4 linked regions of the Stegostoma tigrinum genome follow. The protein of the gene in region 4 binds, or shares a complex with, the protein of the main gene of each other region. Links are inferred from orthologs where the notes say so. Each region holds a gene or a part of one and is shown on either strand. Other genes may lie near its edges.

Region 1 (7,941 bases), on a different chromosome or scaffold from region 4:
TTGTACATAATAAAGGAGATTTTTTTCTTATTTGAAAGGGCACAGTTTTGACGTCAACCCACAAAAGGTAATATTTGTCCATTCCAAAACTAAGGCCACTGACATTCATATAACAAAGTGTGAAGCTGGATGAACACAGCAGGCTAAGCAGCATCTTAGGAGCAGGAAAGCTGACGTTTCAGGCCGAGACCCTTCATCAGGCCCGAACCGTCAGCTTTCCTGCTCGGCCTGCTGTGTTCATCCAGCTCCACAACTTGTTATCTCGGATTCACCAGCATTTGCAGTTCCTACTATCTCTGACATTCATCATATTCAATGCTTTGAAAAGATTCATCTTTACTGTAAGAACATTTTAGGGCGATTTTGTTTTACTACATTCTTCGTTGAGGCACAAAATGTCTTTCAGAACACATATTCTAGGAACAAAATGAGGCTGAGTAAAGTTTTGAATTCCCAATGACAGTTTGACTAAGCAGCTAAACATTAAACTTGTTTCAGCTACCACAGTTCAAGAGCTATTTCCAGTCAAGTTAACCAGTGTCTCAAATTCACAAATGATCATCTTCAATAAGAAAAAGTACAGAGTAATAGAACTACTATATAATTTGGAATGACGATATCCCATACCACAGTGAGGCACATATGGACACAGAATTCACAATACAGAAATAAACCATTCAGGAAAACTGGTCAACGCTAGCATGTGTACTCTACATGTACCGACTGTCTTCATCTAACCTTCTCAGAACATCAGTTAAATGCAGCTCGAACTACATATTTTGTCCTTCTTTGAGAAAGTTTCTGATTTAGTATAAAAGGGAAAAACTGCAATCTATTCAAAATAAAAACGAAAAGAGCTGCAGAAGCTTTAAATCAGGAACAAAAACAAAGTTGCTGGAAAAGCTCAGCAGGTCTGGCAGCATCTGTGGAGGAGAAAACAGTTAACATTTCGGGTCTAGTGACCCTTCCTCAGAACTCAGAACGTGTTCTGAGGAAGGGTCATCAGATCGAAACGTTAACTGTCTTCTCCTCCACAGATGCTGCCAGACTTGCTGAGCTTTCCAGCAACTTGGTTTTTCTATTCAGTTTATTCCATTTAGGATGCGATAGTCATGCATCATTTCATTTCATATCAGAGACATTATTTCTATTGCTAAAGTATTTGCACAAATAATAAAAAAATCCAGTCTCGCAGTTGTTCCTCTTTGAAGTGCCTAAAATTAAGAGGGAACCAATCTCTCATCAAGACTGTTTGAACTGTAAAACAAAGCTTCACTGCTAAACAATCAGGTTAACACAGTTTGCTTTCAGACAAGGTAGATAACAGACAGGACATCCATTCATACTACCACAGCAAGTCAAACAAAGCATTGGAATGGTTCTAGAAAGACCTCACCTTGGATGTTTTCCCCCCAATCTCCCATTTCCGTCTCCAAAATGTAGCCGATAATAGTGCAATCTAAACTTTTTTTTAAACACCAATAACTTATCTAGGTCTTGTTTGCAGTAGCATTGAAATATTAAGCTTAAAAACACCACAATATTTTATGTAATAAATTACAATCAATCATTCTCATGGCATCATTATGACACAACAGGATGCTATTCAACCTATCAAGTCTTTTGTCAGCTCTCTTGAGCAATCCAGTGAGTCCCCTTCCCTGTAGCCCTGCAAGTTTACTTAACTCAACTACACATAAATGACAATTTTGTTTAGAAATTAATGCTTTCCACTACCCTTGCCACAAAGAGCTAAGTCCTTCCTCACATCCCTCCACACAACTTGTTTGTAACTGTAAATCTGTGTGCCCTATTCTTTATATAATCAGCAGATTGGAACAACTTCTGTCATTATGTATCTCTGTCTACAATAGCTGTCATAATCTTGAACATGTCTTTCAAATCCCGAATTTCCTGAGTTCCAAAGAGAACAACCAAAAACTCCAACCTAACCCTTAAAGCACAGAACAACCAGAACAAATCATCTTTAGTAGTACTGCTGTAGATTACTCTGAAGTTAAGCCACTGATTTTTGCAGGGATAGGGCAACTAGCAATGCTCATCATAGCCCCATAAAATTCCTCTACCTTCTCAGTATGCCACTCTGATTGCCCCATTAAACATATATTTCTATCTAGGTTACATGAAGCTGCAAGATTTCCACCACATCTGACTAACTGGTTGCAGGTCAATGTTTCTCGAGTGCTGAAAAGGTGTTTGACTAAATGAATAAGTTCTACAAAGATGGTTTGGATCCCTTGCTAGTACCTCTATTTCTTTACCTGGATTATATATTACAATTGCCTCCTTAGTCTTCTAAGTGACACAATTAAATAACTAATCATGGTAGGATTGTGGGATCCAAGGCTAAGGGCAGGTTGGGTGAAACAATTCGCTAAGTGGCAGGTGCTTTAGTAACTAGATGGTTCCAGTGGGATTCGCTGAAAGTCAGCAGTGTGCTCCTTGCTGTGTGTAATAATTACGCCCTTTAAGCCATTGATATTACAAGGAACCTGCAAATGACATGAAAGCTGGCCATGCGGTTGATAGCAAGGAAGAAGGAAGAGGTCAAAGAACTGGTCAGGTGAAGAGAAAACTGACAAATGAGATTCAGTCCAGAGAAGTACGTGCCATACACTTGGTGTGGTGGGGTCATGACAAACAAGGCAAGTGAAATGAAATAAACAGTAAGATTATGAAGGACATAGGAGGAAGTGAATGTCACTGGAGTTTACAACTACTGAAGGTAGCACAGCAAGTAGATTAGGTGGTCAAGGCAGCAGATAGAATACTCTATTTCACAAAAGCAACAAGATCCTAGTAGAGCTGCATGAAATACTAGTTAATTCACATTTAGAATGGGGCACAGAGTTTTGGTCAATGGCCACCATGTTATTGAAAGGATATGACTGAACAAGAAAGAGATTAAAAAATAATACAAACCTTGAGTCTAATGTAAAAGCCAGAAAAAATTTCAAATCTTTGAAATTTATTTTTGCAATGCATCAAGTCTCCATGTAGGATCTGCAATTGCCAAGGGCATGTTTCCAGGATACTGCCTCTTCACAATTGAGAAGACAGATGGATGGCCTGTTCCCAAAAAACTAATATAGCAGAAACCAGCTGTTAGGAAGAGTTCTCCAATATGACAGTAAATGGCGAACTTACTTTTCAGAATTCCATCATTTGAAGATCCACAAGGGAAGTCTTTCAGTTAATCCTTCTCCATTTCAAAGCACAATGCTGTCAGACCAGTATATTTCTTTTCCCATTGAAAAGCCAGTATTTTAGGGTTTTCAGTGGAGCTGCAGAGTTAATGAACAGGACTGATTAGAAGCAATGATATCTGCTAATAAGGACTTTTTCTACTGTGAGTAATTTGCTAGAAAAATGCTAATGATGCAGGATTATTTAAATACTGTTCTACAGATACCAATATTGGTCATTAAAGTATGATTATAATTGATCAAAAGAATATGTAAAATCTTTCCAAATATTCATAAATATGCTGCCATTCTAATGTACATTAATTTTTGATTTAAAGCATTGAGTAATCAGTCTATTACTTGTGATTTTCTTCTTCATTCTTTATCATGTGTATTAAAATACTTTAACTCCTGCTCCACACCTAGCCCTCTCTCAGGCATGGACACCTCATATCCAGTAAGAATGTGTGGATTTTTAGATCAAGGCCTCTCCTTCTAGAAGGCAGCTTGTTATGAGATGCATGTCAACAAGTCACATCAAACTTGCTTATGAAACATTTCCTTTAACAAGCAGACCTTCAAAACGTTTTCCAAAATTTCATGATTTATTTATTTAAACCAGTAACAATGAATAATAAATAATCCTAACAAAAATCAATGATAATGGCCCAGGTTTTGCTCTAGTAAGGCATCTCAATGTGCACTTCAGATGTGTTCACGCACATGTAGGTTTATAAAAGTAACTTGTTCACAGAGATGCTTGAAGTGAAAACTGCTCAGTGATGGCAACGAATAACAAAATAAACAATGTATAACCAGCGAGATTAAAAGGAGTAATAAACAAAAAGAACTGAGTATGAGGGTATATTAGAGTGGGTCAGTTCAATGTCAAATCAAGTATAGAAGAAAACTGAAAGGGAAAGAAAGACCAGATTTAGAGGCCAAAACAGAAACAAGGAAAAAGCAAAAACAAACATCTTATAATTTACATTTTAACATTTTTAGTATCGTTGATAATCTGAAATAAGACTTCACACATTTACTTGCGCATTTGCCGAGTTACTTAAATTTAATGGTGAATTTATGAGTCAAATGTAAAAATAAAGTAACTTTAATTTTGGCAAATGAAAGCTTTATTAATGTGCAGATTGGCCAGCAGCTTGTTAGGAATGAAGACCCCTGCCACATCATTAGCTATTTATCGACTTGCTAATTAGTAACAGACTATATCACTTTTTCTTCAGCAAAGTCTGGGCCAGTAGTCAAATAGATTTTTCTTCCCTTAATTGGTGAACTTAAGTGTGGAAAAAAATTGTACAATAAAAAGCAAAGTATCTCAAACTCACCATTGCTGCTTGAACAAAACGTACTATGTTAGGTAGAAAAATATCAATTAATTTTAACATTTCACAGATAGCAACCAAGGGAACGGATTAGCTTGAAGCTCTTCTACTTGTGGGAAAAATGGGAGGATGCCTTTTTCCTCCACAAACAATAACTCTTGAATGAAAGTCTCTACAATTGCATGTTATCTTCTCCCACAATTTGTCAAGTTGCCATTGGTTACAGATATTGGAAGTGGTTCTCATTCAGAAAAATTTCAGAAATATTCTCTACTCTGTATTTAATTCAATGATGGCTCAAGATTCTTCTTAAAGCAAATATGTTTTGTATAAAAGGGAATGACAGTCAAGATGCAGTTGAGGTAGACTAGTCACCAACTCCAAATGCCTGACTATTGTTGAATACCTTCTTGGGTGTCCTGTTAAGTCAAACTTGGTAACCACTCTGCAATGTTAGGTTGCTTCAAAGTCAATCTAATACAAATATGGCATCTCAACTGACACACACGAGCATGAATAGAACAGACACAAAATGACAAAGCTGAAGTCATCGTGAACTGTATATTTCTGAATACGGGCACCCTATTGCTTCAAGGTACGCAGGTAGAGCAGAAATGGATAATCACCAGGCCGGAAAGAAAGACAAACCAGTGTTGCTGAAGTCCTGGATTGTATCTCACTCTCCATTGTTCACAACTGAATATTGGTTGATGACAGCAATGATTTAATCAGGGCAGTTGGGTACGTCTGGGCCATAGGCACTACTCCAAGATTTGTGTGATCTCCCCAGTGCCCCGCGAAAACGTCACAGAGTGGCAGTAAACCGCACTTGTGAAGATGAACAGCCAGTGCTATGTTCATGTCAGTACCAATGACAGGATGAACGACTCTGAAGAAACAAAATACAGGACATTTCACTGACAGGACGGGTGGGGCAATTAGGTATGCTAGTGGAACAGGAGACGACGTAGGGCAAGTAAAGGACTGTTAGTAGAATGGTACATCCTAGGCAGGCACCTGCACCTTCCAGCTTTGACTTAACTACCCCACCTAAGTCATGGTCCATCTGAACATGAGGTTAAAATTCAGGATCCATGATTACTTTCCTCCAGTCTTCTCTCTCCACTCATCCATCAAACAAGATGAAGACTGCCAATTTCAAGTTCTACCTTGGTTGCCAGTCCAAACCAGCTCCAGGCAGACCTCAAGTCATGGCCAAATAGGTTAAGAGTACAGTAACCCAAAAGATAAACCAGCAGTATCAAGAGGAGACATCTGAATAGTCTCCCAGTTGCTGTCAAACGAGCAGGGGACAAATGACATCCCTAGCAGAAAGGGTACTGGATCCTGATCTGGCCCAGATAAACCGAAACCTAAGATCGGCAGGCAAAACTGAACCACAGACGGGCAACCATTAAAGCAGAGATCGTTGAGTACAATCAAACCATATTTTTAACGACAGAAAGGACAAACAAATCCACAACTCCCAGGTCGACGAGATAGAGGACAGATGTGATACTATCTTTATACATTGCTGAAAAGAAACTACAAGTTGTAACTTTTCATCTTGAGGATCAGAACTAGGACACAAGAAAGGGATTCAAGAACAGCTCTGTCAGTCTTATCATCCCCAGACATGGTAGGTAAATTCCTTTTGAAACTATTTCTTTTGAGACACTGAAAGAATCCAGGCCAGCGATATCGCCACTACTTCACTCTCACCTAAAATGTTGAGAGTATGGAGGTTGATTTGGTGTATATGCATTTCAAAAACAAGTTTGATGAACAGCCATACAACAGGCTTGTCAGCAAAGTGTAAAAGGACAGTGCAGCAAGAGGAGAAAAAGTGTCCCAAATGTCAGCATGTAGAGGTGAACGGCCAGTTTTTTTTGAACTGGAGGAAAATAAAGTATATCATGTGGCTTCTCAGGGGTCAGTACTAGGTTTTGTTATTCCGTATTAAAGGGCCAGACCTGGGTGTACACAGCACAAATTCAAAAGCTACGAATGACAGTGAGGAACAATGAGGAAAATAACAATAGCCTTCCTGACAAGAGAAATAAGCTTGGAATGGGTGGACAAGTGGAAGATAACATTTTCATGCAAAAAAAGTTTGAAGTGATATATTTTTGGCAAGAAAATCAAGATCAGGTGCTATAAACCAAAAGTGGGGTAATTCAAAACTAGGGGACATATTTTTAAGATGAGGGGAGAAAGATTGAAAAAGTAGCTGAGGGGCATCTCTTACACACAGAGGGTGGTTCATATGTGGAATGAACTGCCAGATGAAGTTATAGATGCAGGTATAGTTAGAACATTGAAAACATTTGGACTGGAATATAAATAGGCAAGGCTAAAAGGAATATGGGCCACACGTAGATAGGTGGGACTAGTTTAATTTGGGAGACTTGGTTATAATGGACGAGTTGGACGTGTTTCCCTGCTGTATGATTCTATTATTCAATGACAATGTTCTCTGGAAATTTTACATTCCATCTGTCAACAAGGGGGAAAGGATGTGTTCCTAAAATAAATGTATATGCACTTAAATCTGAACACTATGGCAAATTTGTAATTATTAAAGCATTCAATTGTGATCACATGCTTTCAACTGTCCATCCCCTTATCCTGCTCCAACCCCATTTTCATCATCAGTCCTGAAGAATAGTAATACCCAAAACATTGAATGCTCCTCTCCTCCAGACGCTGCCTGGCTTGCAAAGTTCTTCCAGATGTTCAGTTATTTAAAAATAGCATACTTCCATCAGCTTGTCATGCTTCAATTCCTCCTGTTTGTGTACCTTGGATTCCAGCATCTGCAGTTTTTTGGTCTCTTTTTGGACTTACATGACAGATTTCTAATTATTAAAGCATGCAGTTATCATCACGTGCTTTCAACTGTCTGTCCCCTCATCCTGCCTCCAAATCTATTTTCACTATTTCCTTGGTCAGTACATAGGGAGTTAATACGAATCAGTGAAAACAAACCTATAAAAGATCGGGTTTCAGGATGAATTTTTGACTTTAAAGCAACCTCAACTGCTTTGAAATGTGGAACAAAGAAAAGCATGTATATTTTACAAATGTTCTTTCCAAAATATCCAATTGCTTCATCCAGATTCTTACTAGCAATTTTAATCACTTGTATTAAGCATAGTAATAATTAAAACATGGCTTTAGTAACAATCTGTTTTCCAAAATAGTCTAACAGCGCCTTTCAACTTTTTCTAAAACAATACACGACAGCATAGTCAGTGGCTTTACCTCTAAGTACTGGCAGCAGGAATGCAGCTAATGTTTACACAAGAAATATTATTAACAAAGTAAGTAATTTGAAAATTTATGAGTAACACACGAATGAATATAGTCTTGATTTGAGGGTAGAACTTTAG
Region 2 (7,714 bases), on a different chromosome or scaffold from region 4:
ATGCAGTACCTTTCACAATGTTATGTTATCCCAAAGCATATTGCAGCCATTGAGTACTTTTTCAATGTAGGCACTGTCTGCACAGCAAACATAGAATTTCCAGCACAGAAACAAGCCACTAGGACTAACTTTTGTATGATGCTGTCCATCAGAAACTCCCTCCTGGCTCCCTCAGTCCCTATCGAACCTATCAAAGCATTTTGTGTACCCTCACATACTAACCTAGTGTCCTCCAGATCATTGTGTTCCATCTCCACTACTGTTTGTGGTGGCATGTTCTACAATCTAATTACCCTCTGAATATATAAGTTTCTTCTGAATTGCTTTCTGCATCAGTTAGTTACTATCTCACATTCATAATGCCTACTTTGAATAAGGACAATTTTGTTCAATGTAAAACTGTTCCCTCAATGGATTCACATATCAATTGGATCCATTTCATTGGTCAATAAGGGCTAACTGATAAGCTTAAAATTAATTGTTCAAAAAAAATGGAATACAACAGTAACCTTGGTAATCTGTAGTTTCTTCTTCAAGGTCACCCTACATGTTCAAAGAAATCATAAACTGATACAGTATAAATTTAGGAAGAGATTTGTTATTGGAAGAAGGATTAATCTAATTTTTAGATCAAATTTTAATGGCTTATTTTCCTATGAGAGTAATTTCTGTTTGGAGAGTTGGATCAACACACAAACTAATGTATTAAAATAATTGGATAAAACCAGATAATCTTACTGACACAGTCTAAAGACTGAAATAAAAACAGAAATTGCTGGAGAACAGCAGATCTGGCAGCATCTGTGGACAGAAAGCAGAATTAACAACTGAATCCAACAACGCTTCTTCTCTCCACAGATGCTGCCAGATCTGCTGATTTTGTCCAGCAATTTCTATTTTTGTTTCAGACTTCCAGCATCCACAGTTCTTTGCTTTAATTAAGGGCTAAAATCTGCCGAGGAAGACTCTGTCCACTGTATTAATTCCTCCGTCTCGGTTGTTTCAATTTTGTTGACTCCTCTTCGTTCATAAAATGTTTTAATTAATCTCCAAATGTTTGATTAATCACTCAAAACTATCGCCTAACAGTGACAGCCTGACTGTAAGTGTCCTACAGTAATCCAGCAGCGGCAGGCCTGCTGAAATTAAAGACATCCAAGATGGACCTGCAAAAAACTTTAAATGATCTGGGGTTTAAATTCTCTAACATTAATTCCCCTCAAACACCCCACCTCCCAATTAGCCCAACAAAAGGACAAGTGCCTAGTAGTCACAAATAGTAATGCATCTCTATTGTTCCAATGGGCGAAGTAAGTCCGATGGTGACTGTGCTGACCGAAAGAAACTGCCCAGGTAAAGCAGACGAAAATGAGTTGGGGGTGCTCCTAATTAGGGGGACAGCAACATGCTCTGTGGCCGATCTCGCCATTCCTGTCCATCCCGTAAGGTGTCGCTGTTCGACACTGGGAGGCACGGCTGGCTTGGATACAGTTTCCATTGAAAATTGTCAATCTGCTGGTTACGTTTCTGTTCTTAGAAATGAGGAACAAGTGGAGGGGAGAGAGAGAGAAACACAGAAAACAAGCAGAGCGGGAACCGTTCGCTGTGCAATTTAAATCAGATCACTCCAGCAATTATAACACACAAGAGGCAATCATAACATCACCACCCCTTTAATATGCAACTAGCAAACCACAAATATTCTTCCCAAACACAACACGAAAACTTTATTCTGATGTTGGATAATCATACAACCGCGGGTGATTTACAAATGTCATCTCCGCCAATACACATCAGGAGCATAGTTTGATGTGTGTCATTCTTGTCTATAAAACAATTGTCCCTTTAACGTTTAATTTTACAAATAGAGAGAAAAAAATGTTAAATTTAACCTTTAGAGGCCTTGCTACAAATAGAAAACGCGCCAGGAAATTGCACGCCCTTCCCCGTTCCACAAGTTGCAAAAATGCAACATTTGCACCAGTTTCCGCGAAGGCTCTGTAAAGACTGACAAGTTGCCCGTTCAAATAATTTCGGACGAGGCCACATTCCGATCCATTTGCAAACCGGGTGGGGACTTGACTGCGGTGGGGAAAAGCTGCAAGAAATTGTTACAGCTGGGGTGGAAAGAAAAAGGGGGGAAATAGACTACCAAAAATAAATGCAAACCACGATCTTTAAAAAGGCTGGAGATAATTACATATAAAAACCCACACACACACAAGACTGAGAGATCGCGTTAAAATTGACGGGAATATACCGAAATGCGTGTTATCCTGGATAGCAGTCAGACCGGTTTTGTTATCATTATTGCTAGACTGCTGTATTTACAGAAATCACAAGCTGCGCGCCTCTTCTGTCACTTACTCACTCCGGGTGAGACTGAACTTGCAGCCCCGCTCTCCCTTCGCTTACCTCGGCCGCTGCATGTAACTGTTGTCCGGCTGATGTGATGACAGCTCCCGGTCCTTCCTCCACTTTACTCAAAGCCCCTGAGCTGCAGGAAAGGGAAGCTTGGCTTGTGTGAGATTTTTGTTGTTGTGCCTTTTTCAGTTTTGTGTGTGTGTGCGCGTCTGTGCTAGAAAGCTTCCACCTCCAAGATCGTCCCTTTTCTGGCCAACGTTGACCCCATCGGGTCCTGGCTGTCGGAGAGGGGAGGGAGGAGAGGGTTGGTTTGCACACAGCCTGTGATACAGAAGCGGCAGTGAGATGAAGGAATGAGCGACGGAGAGAGACTTTCATCGATATCCACGTGCTAAAAGCTTTGTTAAAATGCAAAGCGGGAGAGAGAGAGAGTGAGAGGAAAGGAAACTGCAGCACGTACTGGGAGTGCAATACACTTATCTAAGACTACTTTGTTTGTATGTGAGAGAGAGTGAGACACGAATAGGAGACAGGGAGATGGGAATGAATTTTAAAACATTACAGACTGACAAACACAGCAAGAGGAAAATTATAATGTTCACTTAGATGGATTCACACACACACACACTTACAGTGGCATCGACAAAATTCCCGCGTGGGTGTAGCCGATTTTCCACTTGTTAAATTTGACAATAGGATCAAGTTTTTTTTTAAAGGGGAAAAGCTTCTTTATTTTTGAAGGATACGCCTTTGAAGAAATTCAAACACTGAGCGGAAAATGCGTTATGTGAAAAAAAATAATCAATATATTGATATCAGTTTCTTAGACCCCATTATCAACTAATGATTTTTCCAAATGAGATGATTAATTGTTGCGACTGGGTGTTGGTGCCTACTCAGCCGGTTGGTCCAGAATTGTGACATGTCTTAATTTCATTACATTTTATTTTTAAAAGCGTCAGTTGGCATTTCAGGAATGTAGGAATCAGAGTAGAGCCCCTGCAAGTCACACTTGATCCTGACTTTGAGATATATTCGTCATTCTTTAATTATCACTGGATCAAAATCCTGGTACTCCCTTGTGGATGTCTCTGCAACCCCTAATAACTGCATTGGGTCAAGTAGGCAATTTAATGCCACCTCCTCCAGAATTAATAGGAGAAGGTCCAGCCAATGATGCTCATATGCCATAAGTTATTTTTAAAAATAAAATCGGCCTGTGGAGTATGGCCCATTCCACAGAGGGAAGCATTCACTTTGCAAGAAAAGTCTTGCCTTTATATAGTACATTTCACAACCCCAGAAAGCCCCAATTAAAGTACTTCACAGCCAAAGCATTTTTGAAATGTATGTTTATTAACACACTGTACATTGGCAATGCGACTGAGGTACATGTTCCATACTATATTGTGCCAACCTTTTAGAGCTACACTAACACAGGTACCACAATTGTATTGGTGATATTATGGCTTACCTCGAAGGCTCAAGTTCATATTCAATAAATGCTATCTGTCACCATTTTGTGCTATCATTTTAGTCATTATTTCATGTTGATCACTATCATCTGTTGGCCATTATTTTGCACTGGATCACTATCTCATGTTGAATCTCTGCTTTGCATTAGATTACTATTTCGCGTTACTCACTATCTTATCTGGTCAGCGTGGAGAAGCCAAACCAAAGGGTCTGTTTCTGTGCTATATGACTCTATGTTGCATTGGTCATTATCTCATGTTAGATTGCTAGCACGTGTTGCTCTCTATCGCGCGTCGGTCATTGTCTTGCGATACCTTGCTGAAAATTACAAGTGTTAAAGGGATCAGGATTAGGCTGACTTGCGATGGCTGACATTTAATGCATATCTGTTTTGGTGAGTTAGCAAACTAGTCAGTATCCATGGTCCAGACTTTGATTTGACTCTAAGCTGCCAGGAAAAATGGATGACTAAAAGCTTAAGCACACAGCAAAGACCTTGAGAAGGCTTGTCCTTTTGATTTGGAAGTACACAAAGCCAGAGACCCTTTTTTATTAGGCCCTTAATTCCAAACAACAAACTGAATGCTTTTGCTGATGTTATAAAACATGACACCTGAAAAAGATTTGCTTAAAGATCACACTTGCACAGATAACAAAATGTTTATTTTGAACAACATGAGTGTATTACTCTGCCATATTCCTTTCTTAAATGTGATAACACCTTCCAACCCCCTGCCCCCCAAGTGTGATACAATGTTGCCCCATAATGGTAAGCAGTTCCCATCTCTCTCTTCTGCAAACTCTACAATAAATGTATTTATTATCTCCTGGGCTTTATTTCTATGAACAAAACTTTCATTTCCTTTGAGGAATATGACCGAGCTACGTCCTCACCTTCATCAACTTAGTTATCGGGAAAATAACTACCCAATGACTGAAAGTTTTTCTTATTAGAAGCCCCACAACTGACCCAAAACATCAGATTTCAGATTCAGGAGACAGTTTAGTCTCTCACTTTGTACATTGTAGATGCCAGAAAACGAAACTGGCTCAAAAGAAATTCAGCAAGTTGACAAGAGAAATTCTAAATAACGAAGTGTGGAGCTGGATGAACAGAGCAGGCCCAGCAGCATCTTAGGAACGCAAAAGCGTTTGTGCTCCTGAGATGCTGCTTGGCCAGTTGTATTCATCCAGCTCCACACTTCGTTATCTCGGATTCTCCAGCATCTGCAGTTCCCATCATCTCTAAGAGAAATTCTAACTCTGTAACTAGCACACACACTTGATCTCAAGTTATCTCACAAGGACAGCTGACTCAGAACTTATGGCTGTAATACCTGAATCCTGTTTATAGCTGGGGGTGGGCGTGGGGTAGTAGGTGCAGGGTACTGGTGGAGAAAAGATGTTGATTGGAGCTGAAGTTACAACATTAGAGACTCTACCTAGTCTAAGGGACTATAAAACTATAACTCCAATGTTCAGCACACCTTTGAAGTATTACCGACTCTTCATTTTCACAATGGACTGCAGAGATTATAACCCTGATTCTTGCTGAAGGTCAGGCTATAACTTGAAAGATCTGATTCTATCGATGGACTTGTAAAATTGGTACAGCATGAATTCCAACTTTCATTGCCATCTGAGGCAAGTCTCTGCACTGAAATTGGCACCTTCCTCAAAGCTGCCTTGTTTTTAGTTTTGTGGCAAATTTGTGCTCAGCTATTTGGAATGGATTGTTTAACAAAGCACTGGGGGGAGGGGGGTCCAGGGGAGGAGTTATTTTCTTTGACAAGCAATGGAGGACAAACATGCATGAGTTTAACAAAGGATACAAAAGACATAAAAGCATTCATTTCCCGGCACTGATATTGGCAAATCAACTTCATACATGTTGACAGCCACCAAGCACCTCAACTGTCTGTTTATTTTATTTCTTTCATGGCAACAATTGCTGAAACCATGACCCTGGGTGGGAGCACTGTATTGGAAGAGGGAGTATTGCTACAATGATAAAAATGAACGGTTGAGTCTTGAAATCTGTATATGAGGGACTTAGAAATGCAGCATCCCCTTGTACTGGACTATCACAGTAAGGATGTGCTTGAATGAAGTGATTAACTGCACTTTTTTTAGGCAAAGTGGTGGGGAGGGTGCATTGACTAACAGCTTTATTTGACACATGCATAGTAACAAGACTAACATGGTTTGAATGTCATGCATTCATAAAATACTTGGCTAAATATTATTAATTAACAGTTTACATTTCAGGCAAAATAGTTTAAGTCTGCCACAGTATCAAAGCAGTAACGAGAATCCCCTTGATTACAGGTTCAATGTTTAAATGGCTTAGCAAGGTTACATTTGTAGCTTGTTATTCAAGGTATCATTAATAAGCTTGCACTTGGGATCAGGCTGTTCTCTGTATTTTAGATGCAGGCACACTACCTTATTTGTTCAGTAGATTAGCATCCCATGTGTAACTTCAGCTGGAGTCCTCAGCTTCACTTCTAAGGCTGTCCGTGGTCAGTTATTGTCTGCTAGCCATCGTTTTCTTCAGTCACCTTCTAGGCTGAGTTTAGACAACTTCAGACTTCTGGCAATTGTTCTAGCATTATAGAACTGTGCACTGTGATGATGCACACCATTAGTTTGTTGCTTTTAAGTTAAAACGCTTCAGCTTTCTTGAACTTCTAACTTTTACTTACAAAACTTTCTTGCTTGTATCCAAAACTCTTACCGGTTCTCGTTAACATTCTTTCTTTTTCTAAGGCATTTCACATCTTCTATCTGGAGATGAAATTATTTGTGACCACGTAAGATGATTCACTGAAAACAACAAATGCTGGAGATCACAGCAGGTCAGACAGCATCCATGGAGAGAGAGCAAGTTAACATTTTGAGTCTAGATGACTCTTCATCAGAGCTGAAGTGTGGGAGTGGGGGAGGGGTGTTGTGGGGCATCAGCATTTATGCTATAGTTTGGCATTGGGGGGGTGTGAGATCTTGGTGGAGAAAAGATGTTGTTAGTTCAGATTAAGTGATTGGAATGTGAGAACGGCAGAACAATGGTGTGTCTCCAGCCAGACTTTAAAGGACAGACAGTCCTACTAGGATGGTGGGGGGGCGGGGGGGGGGGGGGGGGGAGGCGGTGAAGAGGACATGATAACAGAATGTAACAAGCTAAAAGGTAAGAAATGGTTCATAATTTGAAGATGTTAAACTCAGTATTGAATCCAGAAGGCTGTGAAGTACCTAGACCGAAGATGAGATGTTGTTTCACTGCTGTGATTCGCTGGAACTCTGCAGCATTTCTAGGATTCACAGTGTCACTTGGATTCTGTTAGGCGTATGCTTGTCAGGACTAATAACGGTATTATTTTAGTTAGTTTAATGAAGGCCATGCTTTTGACTAAATCCATTATTGTTTTCCTCTCCTAACACCTAAACTAAGATGACAAGACACCCCAATTTGACAGAAATCATTTTTTATAATTCTCCTATCAACTTAGATAGAATGACCCATTCATTGGGGTCATACAGATGGCATGGTGGCTCAGTGGTTAGCACTGCTGCCTCACAATGCCAGGGAGCCAGGCTTGATTCTGGGTAATTGTCTGTATGGAGCTTGCACAGTCTCCCTGTGTCTGTGTGGGTTTCCTCCCGCAGCCCAAAGATGTGCAGGCTTAGCGAATTAGCCATGGGAAATGTAGGGTTACAGTACTTTGGGGTGGGGGTGTGGTAGTGGCGATGTGGTGGAATACTCTTCAGAGGTTTGGTGTGGGCTGAATGGCATGCTTCTACACTGTTGGCATTCCAAGATTCAGCTTGGTGACCTTAAGGTTGAATGTCTATCAATGCCAATACTCCACTGAGA
Region 3 (7,735 bases), on a different chromosome or scaffold from region 4:
TTTCTTACACCTTGATAATAAAATGTGAGGCTGGATGAACACAGCAGGCCAAGCAGCATCTCAGGAGCACAAAAGCTGACGTTTCGGGCCTGGACCCTTCATCAGAGAGGGGGATGGGGAGAGGGAACTGGAATAAATAGGGAGAGAGGGGGAGGCGGACCGAAGATGGAGAGTAAAGAAGATAGGTGGAGAGAGTGTAGGTGGGGAGGTAGGGATAGGATAGGTCAGTCCAGGGAAGACGGACAGGTCAAGGAGGTGGGATGAGGTTAGTAGGTAGCTGGGGGTGCGGCTTGGGGTGGGAGGAAGGGATGGGTGAGAGGCTCCTGAGATGCTGCTTGGCCTGCTGTGTTCATCCAGCCTCACATTTTATTATCTTGGAATTCTCCAGCATCTGCAGTTCCCATTATCTCTGGTTCTTCCTCTCACCCATCCCTTCCTCCCACCCCAAGCCGCACCCCCATCTACCTAATAACCTCATCCCACCTCCTTGACCTGTCCGTCTTCCCTGGACTGACCTATCCCCTCCCTACCTCCCCACCTATACTCTCTCCACCTATCTTCTTTACTCTCCATCTTCGGTCCGCCTCCCCCTCTCTCCCTATTTATTCCAGTTCTCTCTCCCCATCCCCCTCTCTGATGAAGGGTCCAGGCCCGAAACGTCAGCTTTTGTGCTCCTGAGATGCTGCTTGGCCTGCTGTGTTCATCCAGCCTCACATGTTATTATCTTGGAATTCTCCAGCATCTGCAGTTCCCATTATCTCATTTCTTACACCTCACTTAATACCCTAATATTTCTCAACAGTCTGTCTTAATTCTTGATGCACCTTGTTTTTCCTTCAGAATGTTGCCTGCTGGTTCCCATTTCCCTTCCAAGTTCATTTCACCCCTCTGCACCACGTAATTACCCTATGAAGATGTTGGTCCTAGCCTCGTTCAGGGGAAACTTGGGTGGTATGTATAAGCCCCATCTCCCCCTAAAATGGTCCTAATGTTCCAGTAATCCTGCCCCCTCCACCATCCCCTAGCCATGCATTCATTGGCTTTATCCTTGCATTTCTATAATCACTAGCATATAGGAGTGAGTATAATCTGTAGTTTACTACTTCTGAGATACTGCTTGCAAGTTTCATTCCTAGATCCTGAAAATTTGTCAGCAGGATCTCAAACCTCTTTTTAATTATGTTATTGAGATTGCATAGACCATGATCATTGCTTTTTCACCTTCCATCCTCAGAGTGTCTATAGCCGCTCAGTGACCTTGACACTGGCAAAATGCCATACTGGAGTTATGTCTGCAGTCTTAGAAATGCCTGTATGTTCTGTATCTATGTGAAACCCTATCATTATTGTTTTTGTAGTCTTTTCCTGATGCCTTTACAGCTAAGCCAGCACACTAACATGGACTTAGCTCTAGTTGCACTATTAAATACAGGATGGAGAGTGAGATACACTCAGGTAACTCTTGCATTACCTGCCACGTTATCTTCAATGGCTTGACAGAAACCCATTCCCCCTTGGCCTCATATTGTTAAACTGTGGGCTGACCACCTCCAGAAATTTGTTATTCTCACAATTCTTGGCCTTTCAGATGCATTGTAGTGACGCCAACTGCTGCTAAAACTCTAAAACATGAATCTCAAGTTGCACCAGTTGATAATGCTTCCTGCACATGCACAATAGACACATTCCACAGCACTGAAATGTCCTAGCATCTCTCTATTAGACTATCCAAAATTCACTCAAAAGCTTGTATGTATTAGTCCTTCTAGCCACTCTCCACATTCCTCACTTTCCAGGTGCCTAAAACAAAAAGTAACAGTGCTGGTTCAGCTCTCATGGTGCCAAAGAGAAGACAGTCACAGATGAGGTGAGTAAGGTTGGCACATTGGAATATGCATCTTAGGCCAGGACACCACATCAATCTGTGCCTGGAGCTAGCAGAAAAGTGGTGTGAGGGTTTGAGTACCAGAAATGTATGGGTTTAGGGACCATAAGTGAACAGTTTTGGAGCAGGGAGATTGTAGCACTGGCATTCTGAGTGTTATGAATGTGGTGGGTCTAGAACAGGGGGAGAGATTTTTGGGTCTGGGAATTTGAGTGGGGTATATCTAGGCCTGAGAATCTGGGAACCAAGGAAGTGTAGGTTTTAGAACCAGAGGAGTTGGAGGTATAATCAATAAACTGGCAGCCAGGAGGTTTGAATGCTTGGGAATTGGGGTTTATGGGTCTTAGAAAATGGGTGTGGCTGGATTTAGGCCTTGGGAGTTGGGCAAGGGAAAATTTGGAGCTTTGGGAGCCAGTACTATCTTATCTGGTGACTGCGACCTAGGAGGGTGTAAGTTTGAAAACTTGCAGGATATGTGTTTTTAAGTTTAAGAGCCAAGAATTATCAAGCTGGAGCTTTAGGATATGAGAGCCGAAAGGGTATGGCTTTGGCAGTTTGAGGGTTTGAGAGCTATGAAGATGCACATTTTGGCTTTTGTAAGCCGGCATGATGCAGGTTTGGAGTTTGGTAGCCAAGGAGACTGTAGACTTGGGGGCATTCAAGCCAGAAGGTGCGACTGTGTGTGTTTCACAGAAGTATAAAATCATTACAGAGTGGAAGCAGGCCATTTGGTCCATCAAATCCACACTGACCCTCTGACGAGCATCCCACCCAGACACACACCTCTATTCTAGCCCTGTAACCCTACACTTCCCATGGCTAATTCATCTAGCCTGCATAATTTAGCATGGCCAATTCACCTAGCCTTCACATCTTTGGACTGTGGGAAGAAACCAGAACACCTGGAGGAAACCCACTCAGACACAAAGAGAACATATGAACTTCACACAACAGTTGCCCAAGTCTGGGATTGAACCTGCGTTCCTGGCACTGAGAGGCAGAAGTGCTAATCACTGAGCCACTGTGCTCCTGCAGAAAGCCAAGTGTATACATCTTTGGGATTTGGGGTTTTGAGAGCCGGAGTGCAGCAAGTTTGGTGGCCAGGAATGCAGGGTTTGGGATCTGATGCTGGGAAAGTGCAGTGCTGGGGTTTGGGAGCAAGGAGAATGTGGATAATGTTATTTAGGAGACAAAAGTGTGTGGATTTGACAACAGGAAGTGTCAGTTAATGGGGCCAGGAGGTTCAGGTTTGGGGGTTTAGGAGCTTGGAGTTTGTAGATTTGCACATTTGGGAGCCAAAAGGATGTGGATTTCGAGTAGCAAAAGTATAGGTTGGGTTTTGATAGCCAGGAGGATTGAGAGTGTTTAGGAGCCCAGAAAGGAATGATTTTGGAGTGGTGAGACTGTACATTTGGGGGTTTGGGAAGCAGGATGGGTTTGGGCTTCTGCTACATAAACGATGTAGCTTGGGGGCTCTGGCCACCAGTAGTGTGTGAGTTTGGGGATCTGAGAAACCAGGAAGATGTAGGATTGGATATTTAGAAATTGAGAAGATATAAGGTTGTGAGCCAAGAGGATGCTGTTTAGGAGCTAGGGAGGTGTAGATTTCATGCTTCAGAGTTGAAACAGTGAGGGTTTCGGAATTTGGGTGGGGGGAGTGTGTGTGTTCTGAGGTTTGGGAGATGGAGGTGTGAGTTTGGGAGCTGGGGATGTGTGTGCTCTGGGGATTGGGAGATAGCGGTAGCGGGTTTGGGAGCTGGGAGGGTATTGTCTGGGGTTTGCAAGGCAGAAGGGTGTGGTTTGGGGGTTTAGTGGTGGGAGGGTGCGGGTCACGGTGTTTGGGAGACGGGAGGGTGCGGGTCTCGGTGTTTGGGAGCCGGGAGGGTGCGGGTCATGGTGTTAGGGAGCCGGGAGAGTTCGGGTGTCGGTGTTTCGGAGCCGGGAGGGTGCGGGTCACGGTGTTTGGGAGCAGGGAGGGTGTGGGTGTTGGTGTTTGGGAGCCGGGAGGGTGCGGGTCTCGGTGTTTGGGAGCCGGGAGGGTGCGGGTGTCGGTGTTTGGGAGCAGGGAGGGTGCGGGAGTCAGTGTTTGGGAGCTGGGAGTGTGCGGGTCTCGGTGTTTGGGAGCCGGGAGGGTGCGGGTGTCAGTGTTTGGGAGCCGGGAGGGTGTGGGTCTCGGTGTTTGGGAGCCGGGAGGGTGCGGGTCTCGGTGTTTGGGAGCCGGGAGGGTGCGGGTGATGGTGTTTGGGAGCCGGGAGGGTGCGGGTCTCGGTGTTTGGGAGCCGGGAGGGTGCGGTTTACGGGGTTTGGGAGCTTGGAGGGTGCGGGTCTCAGTGTTTGGGAGCCGGGAGGGAGCGGGTGCCGGTGTTTGGGAGCCGGGAGGGTGCGGGTCTCGGTGTTTGGGAGCTGGGAGGGTGCGGGTGACGGTGTTTGGGAGCCGGGAGGGTGCGGTTTACGGTGTTTGGGAGCCGGGAGGGTGCGGTTTACGGGGTTTGGGAGCTGGGAGGGTGCGGGTCTCGGTGTTTGGGAGCCGGGAGGGTGCGGTTCAAGGGGTTTGGGAGCTGGGAGGGTGCGGTTTACGGGGTTTGGGAGCCGGGAGGGTGCGGGTCTCGGTGTTTGGGAGCTGGGAGGGTGCGGGTCTCAGTGTTTGGGAGCCGGGAGGGTGCGGATCTCGGTGTTTGGGAGCCGGGAGGGTGCGGGTGTCGGTGTTTGGGAGCCGGGAGGGTGCGGTTTACGGTGTTTGGGAGCCGGGAGGTTGCGGGTCTCGGTGTTTGGAAGCCGGGAGGGTGCGGGTTAAGCAGCTGGTGGCTCTGGCAGGAGGGGCAGGCGGAGGGCGGGGGTAAGGTGTCAATCAGAAGCGGGGCGCCGACCCGGGATTTCGCCTCTCTGCGGGACACAGATATTTAACCTGGAGCCGGAGACTCGGCATCAGTCCGGCTGCAACAGGAGGCAAGGAGCAGAGACAGGACGCCTCCCCAGGATCAACACCGGCTTCATCTCAGGATCAACCTGGCATCAGCACCGGGATCAATCCAGGATCAGCACCGGGATCAACCCGGCATCAACACCGAGATTAAGCCGGGATCAATCCCGGATCAGCAGCGGGATCAATCCTGGATCCTGAGCGGGATCAGCGCTAACAATCTCGCTGCCGGTAGAGCTGGGGCCGGGCGAGCCCGTGTGCCCCGGAGTGGAGCCCAGGAAGCGGGCCGCCCTGGGCCGGAGCCGCCGCGCTCTCTCCCGGGCTCCGGGCCGCCTCTCACTCCGGCTCCTGTCATCCCGTCTAGACAGCTTGTGGCAGTGAGTCCTGGCGTTGCCATGGCGACAGGCAGCAAGCCGACGTGAATTTCGGGGTAAAGAATCTGGAAAAAGGCCGCTTTTCTGGTGCTTTTCGCTTTCCGGAGGTGGATCGGTGGGAAAGAAAAAAAGCGAGGAAGGAAAAGAAGGCGAGAGAGTGGAAAGTGAGAGAGTGTGGGAGAGGCTGCGAGAGACAGCAGCTTAATCCGGCAGCAAAGTTAAACCTCAGCACGTCCTGTACGTGCCCGTCATTCAAAGCCCAGTGTGTTCTATTAAAAGTATCAGTCTGCTCGCTTTGCAGCCTATTTATAAACCTCTGGGCTCGCCGAACTGGCCCGTTTAAAACATGGAGCTGCCACAGTATATGCTGAGCTGCTTCTGCATGTTGCTACTGCAGCACGGACTCTGCCAGCCTTATCTGCACCTCCGGCCCGTCCCCAGTGACAGTTTGCCCGTGGTGGACATTATCGAACACCCGGACCCAGACAACGATCCCAAGGACAACGATCTGGACGAACGGGCTTTACGGAAGAAGCTCGGCAGTCACTTCGATCCCAACTTCATGTCCATCACCCTGCCCCAACTGGACGACTCTCCGTCCCGGGACCCGAACTCCAGGTTCAAACCTCTGGGCGCCATGCCCAACGACATCAAGAGGTTGGATTTGTCCGAGACCCCTTATGGGAGGAAAATGAAGTTGGGTAAAAAGGCCAGAAGGAAGTTCCAGCAATGGCTTTGGTCCTACACATACTGTCCGGTGATGTACACATGGAAGGACCTGGGAGGCCGCTTCTGGCCACGGTTTGTTAAAGAAGGCAACTGTTACAACGAGAGGTCCTGTTCATTCCCCGAAGGGATGCTGTGTAAACCTGTCAAATCGATTAGCAAGACTTTCTTAAGGTGGTATTGCCAAGGATGGTCAAAACCCAAGTACTGCACGTGGATACCTGTACAATACCCAGTCATTTCCGAGTGCAAGTGTTCCTGTTAAAGGGAGAAATGTTCTCATGCAGACTGGGTGAATCCTATATACAGATGGTCTATAGTATAACAGCGCCCTATAGTGAAATCTATTTTTATATATCGCATTCTAAAGAAGCGCCAGCTTTGTATCTATATAACACAATGAGATTTAACGTTGCAGAAAATCATGGTTTTTTTTGGGGGGAGGTGGGTGAGGGTGGGTTGGGGAAAATTGACGGACCATAATGAAGCTCCACTCAGATGGAAGGGATATTCGCAGTCACACTGCGGGCCCTGATCGCTGACTTTGAGAACTAGCAGCAACTCCGAACAAGTCTAGCCTGGGTTTCCATTCACTGAATCCTAATAACTGCCTTTAATGCCATGTGCCTAGTTTTTTTTTGTAAAATAATAATAATTATTATAAAAAAAGTTGAGGTGAAGATATTACAGAGTGAAATCTCAGCTTTCCAATACAATATAGGAGTGTAGAAGAGTAAAATCTTGTGTCCAATTATTTATTACTTTAACGTTTGTTGATATAAATGTAGATGATACCGTGACATTTGGAAATGTTTACTTGAATATTATTTCTAAAACAAAACATATCAATGTAAATATAATGGTTCAATGTTTTTAGCAATAAAATCTCATCTTTGAAACAAAAAAGTTTGGACATCTGACAGCATTCAGAGCCTTGGCTTCTTTGGGTGCGAGAGAGTGCTTCTGTGCAAAAGAATAGAACAGTCTTCATGATCTATCCGAGCGGAGGCAGCCCTTCATCATTTCAGTCATTCGGAGCTGCCTTTGAAACGTCCCGTCCCTGCACCCTTCACAAGCCGCCTTGTCGGGAATGTGTACTAACTGTTCCATCTGCAGCTTTAACAAACTTTAAGTGACTGTGTCCCCCACACGGTTTTCTAAACGAGATCACAGGTAATGAACAGTTACAAACGGTGCCTAGATTCCAGTCACGGAAGATGTGTTCACTATAAAATCGCATGTGAAGCTGGTTCGTAGTTCATTTATCAAATAAACGCTGTCCAAGGAACTTAACATCAGTTGCAATAAACTGTACAAAGAGGTTCGTTTTGTACAAGATAACGGTATTGTTTCAAAGCCCATTCAGTTGTAAAACCTTTGGTTTAAAATTTGGGGAATAGAATAATTGCAGCGTCCATCCTGGAAGGGGGAATCTCGGGGCAGGTCTGCGGAGATCCCGGCATAAACAGGTGAAAAAAAGTCAGACTACTGAAAAAACAAACAAATCAAAAAGATGTTTTTAATTTGGAATGTGTCCAGCAGGATTGGGGACACGTTGTCTGGGCATCTGAGTGGGCTACCCCTCCCCCCCTCGCACACAAACACAGATATTTATACAGCGATGCAGCCTTGTCTCGAACTTACTTGCTAAGAAATGGTGTTGAAACTTTACAGGCCGCTTTCACTGAACTAAATGGATAAGGAGTGGGGAACAGCACGGAATGGAATAGGCAACTGATAGGAGCGCTTTGCTCTGTCTGCTCCCTCGGCGTTTTTCCAATCTCCAGCAAGCCCAAACACTGTAACTGTTATAAGTGGTGCTCGCTAACA
Region 4 (6,977 bases):
ACACACTTGCTCCTGTGCCCGCGTTACCTTTCCCTTGAACAGGCGCCCCGCTCAGAGAAAGCAGCGGTCCATTCAAACGCGGGCAGCTCCGACTCGGTCCGCGGGCGCTGCCGCCCTTCGCTAGCCCCGTCCCCGGTTCACTCTGGTCCCCCCCTCCCGCAAATCGAGGCGCCGGAGCATCTGGTTTTGAGAGGCGGGAGAGGAAAAGTTCAGGCGATTATTTGTCTCTTCACCGCGGCTGCTTTTTTTTTGTTACATCCAGAAAAAAGGGAGGGAGGGTTGTTGGTAGGAAGGAGGTGAGTTCGGTTCCCTCTCTGACCCTCGTCTCGGTTTATCCCTTCTGAGTCTAGCACCGCCGCGGGACTCCGCCGAGCTATTCCCGTCCAGGGACCAGGAATCGAACCAGTTCCTCTCTGCTCTTCCCTGTGCCCCGCATTTGCTCGCTGCTTATTCCACACTTTCGCTCTCTTCCTCCCTTGCCCGGGTGTTGGGAAGCTCTCCAGAGGGCAGTGCAGCCCTTCACGCCCATCAACAGCAGGCGAAGAGGGGGTCAGAACATTGCTTTCAGATCTCTGTGTCGAAAATACACCCGAAAACGGCGACGGAGTCCAAGCAAATCGTCCGGTTCACTCACAAAGCCCCGGGCAATGAGCGCTATAGGAAAGTCCATCATTTCTTAACACAGTGGCCCATATATATTTATATATACATATATACAGTCACACACAACAAACACACAATCTAGAGTGAGTGAAGGGTTTCATATATATACATATATATATATATATATATTCAGTAAGGTTTTTGTTTAAAACGCTGATTCCCGCTTCTGCTGCATAAGTAATTGAAAGCGGCTTTATATATATACGATCTGCTTGCCGGCTGATGTCACGTCAATGACGCTTGATGCCAATCAAATGCGATAATTGATTCCTGTCACAATCTCGACATTGAGATCAGAGCAAGAGTTTGAATCTTTGACTTGGGTTGGGGGTGGAATAGCACAAAACATTTCTCTGCCAAGAGGATTAACGCCGGGGCAGCAGATTGGACGTTGCGTGATTTTATGTTTTATTTTTTGGTGTGTGTGTGTGTGTGTGTGTGTATGGGTGGGTGGGTGGGTGGGGGAGGCTTGGTGGGATAGAGAAATGGCAACTCAGCGCAGCAAAATATAAATGCCATTTTTTTTGTTAGCCACACGCGCCTCTTTAAAATATCCTTTCACACATACATAGACACCATCGCAGCCCCCACCCCACCCAACGCCCTCCAGACTGGCCCAGTCCAGCGCGCTTTCTGACCCCGGTGTTTATCCAAACCAAATCTACCGATCAATGGGGTCGGTCATTCGAAAGGCCAGATCCCGTTGATAACATAGTTGGGTTCTGCTTGTGAGGGGTGGGGGTTTGGGGCGGGAGAAGTCATCGCAATTAATTGAATTCTGAACTGTCCATTCCGCGCTCCCCTCCCCACAAATAAAAAGATCCGAGGAACACTTCTTAAGGCGATCCAGAATTCAGAAGCCTCTCTGCAGTACGTGTGAGGTTTATTTACTCTTGTTCATGCCGAGATATCATCTCGGCGCTCACAGCAATGGGATTGGGAACTCACGCTGGGACAGACACGGCTGGGCTCTCAGAAATCCACACGTTATAGGAGGTTCCATTCATCCCCAGAGGGTTGGGGGGGGGGGGAGTGGTGAGGGAGGGGTGGGGGTGGGGTGTCGGGAAATTGAGAACGGTGCGCTTTCCCCTCGGTGACAGGACCAAAGTCTGAGAGTTTAGCTCAGACTTCTATTCTTCGGCTGTTTTGTTCTGGTTTGGTTCCCTCAGTGAGGATTTCAAGAAGAGAGGTCACTCAGGGATGCAATGTTGGAAAAGCACTTGCCACTCGCTTTGGGATGTCTTGCCTCCCCCAACACCCCCTGAACGAAACAAGATTTTGGGTCTGATATATGTTCGACAAAGAGAGAGAGAGAGAGAGCCCAGAGCGCCAACTCCTGGTCAACACAGCAAAAGGCCAGAGGGTTGAATTTCCAGCTTGCTTTTACAACGGCTTCTTTGTACAACTCTCTCGGAACGCGAGAGAGAGAGAGAGAGAGAGAGAAGTAAAATCATCCTGAAACTCGGCTCAGCACAGATCGGAATCAGCTCCCTCCTCCCCCTCACAACACTCACCTCCCCCCACCCCCGTGACTTCCCTCCCCTCCGACACACACACGCAACAACCACTTCAATTTACAACTTTAAACCATCAATATATCGAAAACAAAAGTTTTAAAAACAATACAGACCGTACAGGTGTGACGCCGTGCACAGTGGGAAGAGGCAGTCTAAGATCAAGATAAAGTGAAAGAGAGAGAGAAGGAAATTTAAAACCGGCGGCAGAACATGTGTATGACAAGAGAGAATGTAGTAACGATTCTGGGACATGGCTGTGTATTAGGGATGAAAAGATGTGTGTGCTGTATGAAAAATAAAATCAAGTAAAAACAAAGGATGTACTAGGGACGAAATAAAGGTTAAGAGTAATTGTAAGTTTATCAAATAAATCTTGCACCCTCTAATCAAAAGCAGCAATTGGCTCGCTGCAGTTGAACGACTCAAATGACCAAATGAGTGAAATTTCAGATCTTCCCACTCCCCTTTACCTGATGGAGAATGTTGCATTAGACCACGCTGCTGCACCCCAAAACCCGGCTGCTCCTGTCAGCGGGATTTGATGAAAAAGTGCCGAACGGGAAGGAAAGGCGAATCATTTCACTGAGTGAGCAATCCCGGAGAGACCAGAAGTTAATCTTTGCATGTGTGAAACGAAACGCGAGATGAGGCTCCGGGCGCCCGATTTAAAGCATCTCGCAGCAAGTCAGTTCTTCCGAGTGAATGACTTCACAGTCGCTCATGTGAGGGCTCTCTCTCACTCACTCACTCTCTCTCTCTCACTCTTCTCTCTCTCTCACTCACTCACTCACTCCCCTTTAGTGATTCGGCATTGTGGCTGGCATTGGGAATGTTTACAGATATGAAGTGACTCATTCATTTCAGAGACGATCTTCATCTAACGTCATTACATCACAGTGGATTTTTGTATTTTTTTTAGAAAAACAAGGTTCTGTTTAAGAGTGTAAACAGGTTGACTGATGCTGTGTCTGTGACACAGAGAACTTCCTACATACTGTCATAGAGTTTCTCCGTCAGACAGAAAGAGAGAACTGTTGCTTTAAACAAAACTGCTCTCCTCAGCTCCCATTATCACTGCACTCCTCAGCTCCCATTATCACCGCACTCCTCAGACATCCGAGTGGGGTAAGGGGTATATGCATTTACCGCCAGCTATCAGAATTTTCAACAAGGTCCAGTTCACAAACGTCGGGACAAATATGTAAAACCCCACCGAGAGATTGAAATCGCTGTGTGACAGCGAAACCACAATACGCACGTAAAATCCTTAACACACATGGCAATCCTCAATGCACACACCAAATTCATAACATACACACTAATCCATAATACCGATGGCAGGCGGACTGATGTTATGGGTTACACACAACCACAAATGGCTGGAGAAGCTCAAGCAGGTCCGGCAGGGACAGTCAGAACTGCAGATCCTGGAGTCAGAGATAACGCAGTGTGGAGCTGGAGACACGCAGCAGGCCGGGCAGCATCAGAGGAGCAGGAACACTGACGTCTTGTGTCGGGACCCTTCTTCAGCATCTCTGGAGAGAGAAAGTTGAGTTAACGTTTCAAGTCTGGTGACCCTTGTTCAGACCTGCTGAGTTTCTCCAACAAATTCCGCTGTGTGTATTTCCCGATTTTTGTTTTATTTCTGACGTTGTGAATACCCGGTCGTTTTATAATTCAGTCAACATTCGTCAACACATACGTACGTGTGCATTAGACATCTCCCGGGAGCGCCCAGAGAGAACATGCATTGGGATTAATAGAGCTATTTATTAGTCTTATTTATAGCCCTGTTAATTCATACCTCACCTCTGTGCACCGTGACAGATCCAAAAGATCCCAATTCAGCCGTAACATCCAATTGCGCCCCTTCTCCACCACCCACCCCCCCCCCAGCACCCCACCATCTGATCTATCTCATTCCAGACACGGGTACAACATACATGTGTTCTGATTCCCCCTCTCTCCTTGTCCGCTTTAGTTTAAATGCCTCATTTCTCTATTTTGTCTCCTCTTCCTTACGTGCTTTCTAAGTTGTCCTGTTGATTTTTTTTGCTTAGAAAGCTGGCTGGAGAAACTGCCCCTTATTCTTAACCCGAATTTTCATCAATCTCCCCAGAACGCTTTACAAGCCTTTGTTGAGTTCCGCTCTCAGTTTCTGTTTTAAATATCCCGGACAACTTGCCCGCCGCCACTGCTTGTTCATTGAGTGGGTAGAGAGTGGAATCTCCTTGGAGAAGACGGAGAGACAGAAAGGACAGTCTAAAATCCACACTGCAGACGCTGGAAACCTAAGATATACACAAACACAAAAACTGCCTAGCAGGTCAGACAGTAGCCGCGGAGAGAGAAACTGTCAACGTTTCAGGTCTGGGAGCTTTCAGGAAAAGGGATCTAAGGAGTGATCTGATACATCCAGCATCTGCAGTTCCCATTATATCTGATACATCCAGATCTGCTGCAAGTTTGCAACATTTGTGCATCAGACGCTGATTGAATGGGCAAACGCGCCCTCCTCTGCTCCCCAGCGGTTCTGGTCACGAAGCCAGTCCCAGGTACCTTGCAAAGAGAAAGGAGTGAAGCACCGGACCAAGGTTTAAAACAGAAAGAAAAAAGACCACGCGCGGTCAAAGTGGTTTTCATATCTAGCCGGATGTGCGTGTGCCCTTTCAGAAAGACCATTTAAGGGACGTTAACGTTGTCTGAGAAGTGTTAACGTTCTCGAGAGCAGGCTGACTGGTTGTCACTTTTTGTTTGAACACACCGAGATTATATTGTGGTCTTGTATAAGTGAGATGAATTGGAATTATCAGAAACCCTCCGAAAATTCCATGAGTTTATGTGGACGGAGAGATATTTTTGCTGCCTACATTGAATCCTGAAACTCAAGTTGGGTTTTTAAAATTGGACCCAGTTAGAAAATCAAACTCAGCCTTTTCCCAGAAATTCTCTTCATTGATCTTGGTCTTTGGAATGGGACATATTTTGCTGCTATCTTCCTACAAAAATTTTCCTTGATAGGTTGGTCAATAGCAGTAATGCGTTATCTATGGTACTTCACCTTGCATCCTTTAGGGGTGTGTATTAGATGGTGTGCCCAGGAATGGGAAGTGATTCACCTTCCCGATTGTTCTCCAGTGCATAAAGCAGGATTATAACAACATAACTCAGAGATAGCAAGAACTGCCAATGCTGGTGTCAGTGTGGAGCTGGAGGAACACAGCAGGCCATGGTGTGTATATGTTCAGTAGCAAGGTTTAAGTTATGAAGAATTGCTGGATAAGTTGGGACCTTTTTCACTGGAGCTTGGGAGGTTGAGAGGCAACTTGAAGACAATTTCTAAATTAGAAGGGTATAGGTGGAGTTCATAGCAGTTGTCTTTTCCCTGGCATGTGGGATTTTAAAACTAGGAGGACACACTTTTAACGTGGGAGGAAAGAAATTTGGAAAAGATGTGAGGACAATTTTTTTTACACAGACGGTGGTTCCTGTGCGGAATGAACTTCCTGTGGAAGTAGATATGACTGCAATTGCAACGTTTAAAAGACATTTGGATTACGTACATGAATAGGAAAGGTTTGGAGGGATATGGGCCAAATGCAGGCAGGTGGGACTAGTTTAGTTTGGAATTATGTTAGGCATGGAGTAGTTGGACATAAAGTTCTGTTTCCGTACTATATGTCTCTATAACTGGGTGCCCCTCACCACCCAACAACAATGCTGTGTATTTACATAACACTTTGCGCACAGTAAATCATCATGAGATGCTTCTGGAAAGCATAAGCAGATCAAAACAGACACACCACACCAAAGAAGGGGACATTCTGACTGAGAACCAACAGATTCACAAAAAATCAGTTAGTTTCACAAAGGAAAGAAGAGGTAAGGAGGTTGAGAGAGGGAATTCTAGAACATAAGGTGAAAGTCACTGTCGTCAACAATGAGTAATGGAAGGAAAAGATGAAGAGGACGGCAGATTCTTCAGAGACTTTCCAGATTGGAGGAGGCTACAGAGATAATGAGGCTTCGAACAATGATCAGGCACTGCAATAATGTCCTCCATCATCATTAATCCTATATACTCATTGCCTAAGCAAATGTGTGATATATGTGCCCTTGGAAAAGGCATTGGTGAGCATCATAGGCCAGAATACATTGGTTTCTCCAAGCAGGAAGCGAAACTTCCTCCATCATAACACTCCCCTACATCTGATTGAGTTGATGCTACTTTCCCCACACTGGGTATTTGCAGCTTCTTACTCTCTTTGTGATGGTTGGAGCTAGGGAACAAGATCTTGCCTGTCCACTTCTTGAAGCTGCAACAGCTGCTGTTGCTCGGTGTTTTTGCCAAATGCTAGAGGTAAAGTCTAAATTTGACAACAAATCACAACCCTAAATGCTGACAGCTAAGAGGCTGCTTATCTAGGATCAACACAGCAAATTTTAATCAAAATTATTATGGTGCAGATTACTTTTATTGTTGCTTTGAACTGTTCCACTGATCTCAGTCACAGATCGAGCTGATAATGCAAGTTGCAGGAGGTGAGATTCAATCCAGCCAGAACACAGAAGCAGCTTTATTAGTCTGTAAATTGCATTTTCCGGATATTATCCATTTAGATCACCACTTCAACTCAATTGCTTTGGAGAAATTTGACAACAGCAATTTATTTTTTGGAGATTTACTGGTAACCATGTAAAAATGAAAGCAAATCTCTAATTAAAATGATATTTTATATTACTTATGAAGAACTAAGTTTGATTTGCAAACAGCTACTTAGTGTACAACCCTTCCAG

What was found.
Region 1: the proteins of bone morphogenetic protein 2-like (region 4) and rgmb are in contact, whole or in part, in a crystal structure (PDB 4UI2), measured with the Homo sapiens proteins. The link is inferred for Stegostoma tigrinum from reciprocal best matches to the Homo sapiens genes BMP2 and RGMB. Residues at the interface, in NP_001191.1 of Homo sapiens: Val308, Gly309, Trp310, Trp313, Met371, Tyr373, Leu374, Asp375, Glu376, Tyr385, Met388; in NP_001353437.1 of Homo sapiens: Lys97, Arg100, Gly101, Leu103, His106, Ser107, Leu110.
Region 2: the proteins of bone morphogenetic protein 2-like (region 4) and repulsive guidance molecule A-like are in contact, whole or in part, in a crystal structure (PDB 4UHY), measured with the Homo sapiens proteins. The link is inferred for Stegostoma tigrinum from reciprocal best matches to the Homo sapiens genes BMP2 and RGMA. Residues at the interface, in NP_001191.1 of Homo sapiens: Val308, Gly309, Trp310, Asp312, Trp313, Met371, Tyr373, Leu374, Asp375, Glu376, Lys383, Tyr385, Met388; in NP_064596.2 of Homo sapiens: Arg91, Arg94, Gly95, Leu97, His100, Ser101, His104.
Region 3: the proteins of bone morphogenetic protein 2-like (region 4) and nog2 are in contact, whole or in part, in a crystal structure (PDB 7AG0), measured with the Homo sapiens proteins. The link is inferred for Stegostoma tigrinum from reciprocal best matches to the Homo sapiens genes BMP2 and NOG. Residues at the interface, in NP_001191.1 of Homo sapiens: Trp310, Asp312, Trp313, Val315, Ala316, Pro317, Pro318, Gly319, Tyr320, Ala368, Ile369, Ser370, Met371, Leu372, Tyr373, Lys379, Val380, Val381, Leu382, Lys383, Asn384, Tyr385, Gln386, Met388; in NP_005441.1 of Homo sapiens: Ile33, Arg34, Pro35, Ala36, Pro37, Ser38, Asp39, Asn40, Pro42, Leu43, Val44, Asp45, Leu46, Ile47, His49, His199, Arg204, Arg206, Pro219, Ile220, Gln221, Tyr222, Pro223.

The regions. Positions count from the first base shown.
Region 1 is NC_081356.1:86,607,223-86,615,163, forward strand, and holds the start of rgmb (RGM domain family member B), read right to left. Parts: upstream 3,011-7,941; 5' UTR 3,007-3,010; coding exon 2,944-3,006; intron 1-2,943. UniProt on the Homo sapiens protein: Member of the repulsive guidance molecule (RGM) family that contributes to the patterning of the developing nervous system. Acts as a bone morphogenetic protein (BMP) coreceptor that potentiates BMP signaling. Promotes neuronal adhesion.
Region 2 is NC_081386.1:27,106,841-27,114,554, reverse strand, and holds the start of repulsive guidance molecule A-like, read right to left. Parts: upstream 3,004-7,714; 5' UTR 2,743-3,003; coding exon 2,416-2,742; intron 1-2,415.
Region 3 is NC_081376.1:30,147,237-30,154,971, reverse strand, and holds the start of nog2 (noggin-2), read left to right. Parts: upstream 1-4,733; 5' UTR 4,734-5,525; coding exon 5,526-6,170; 3' UTR 6,171-7,735. UniProt on the Homo sapiens protein: Inhibitor of bone morphogenetic proteins (BMP) signaling which is required for growth and patterning of the neural tube and somite. Essential for cartilage morphogenesis and joint formation.
Region 4 is NC_081362.1:10,208,327-10,215,303, forward strand, and holds the start of bone morphogenetic protein 2-like, read right to left. Parts: upstream 3,009-6,977; 5' UTR 2,651-3,008; intron 822-2,650; exon of another isoform or gene 28-821; intron 1-27. UniProt on the Homo sapiens protein: Growth factor of the TGF-beta superfamily that plays essential roles in many developmental processes, including cardiogenesis, neurogenesis, and osteogenesis. Induces cartilage and bone formation.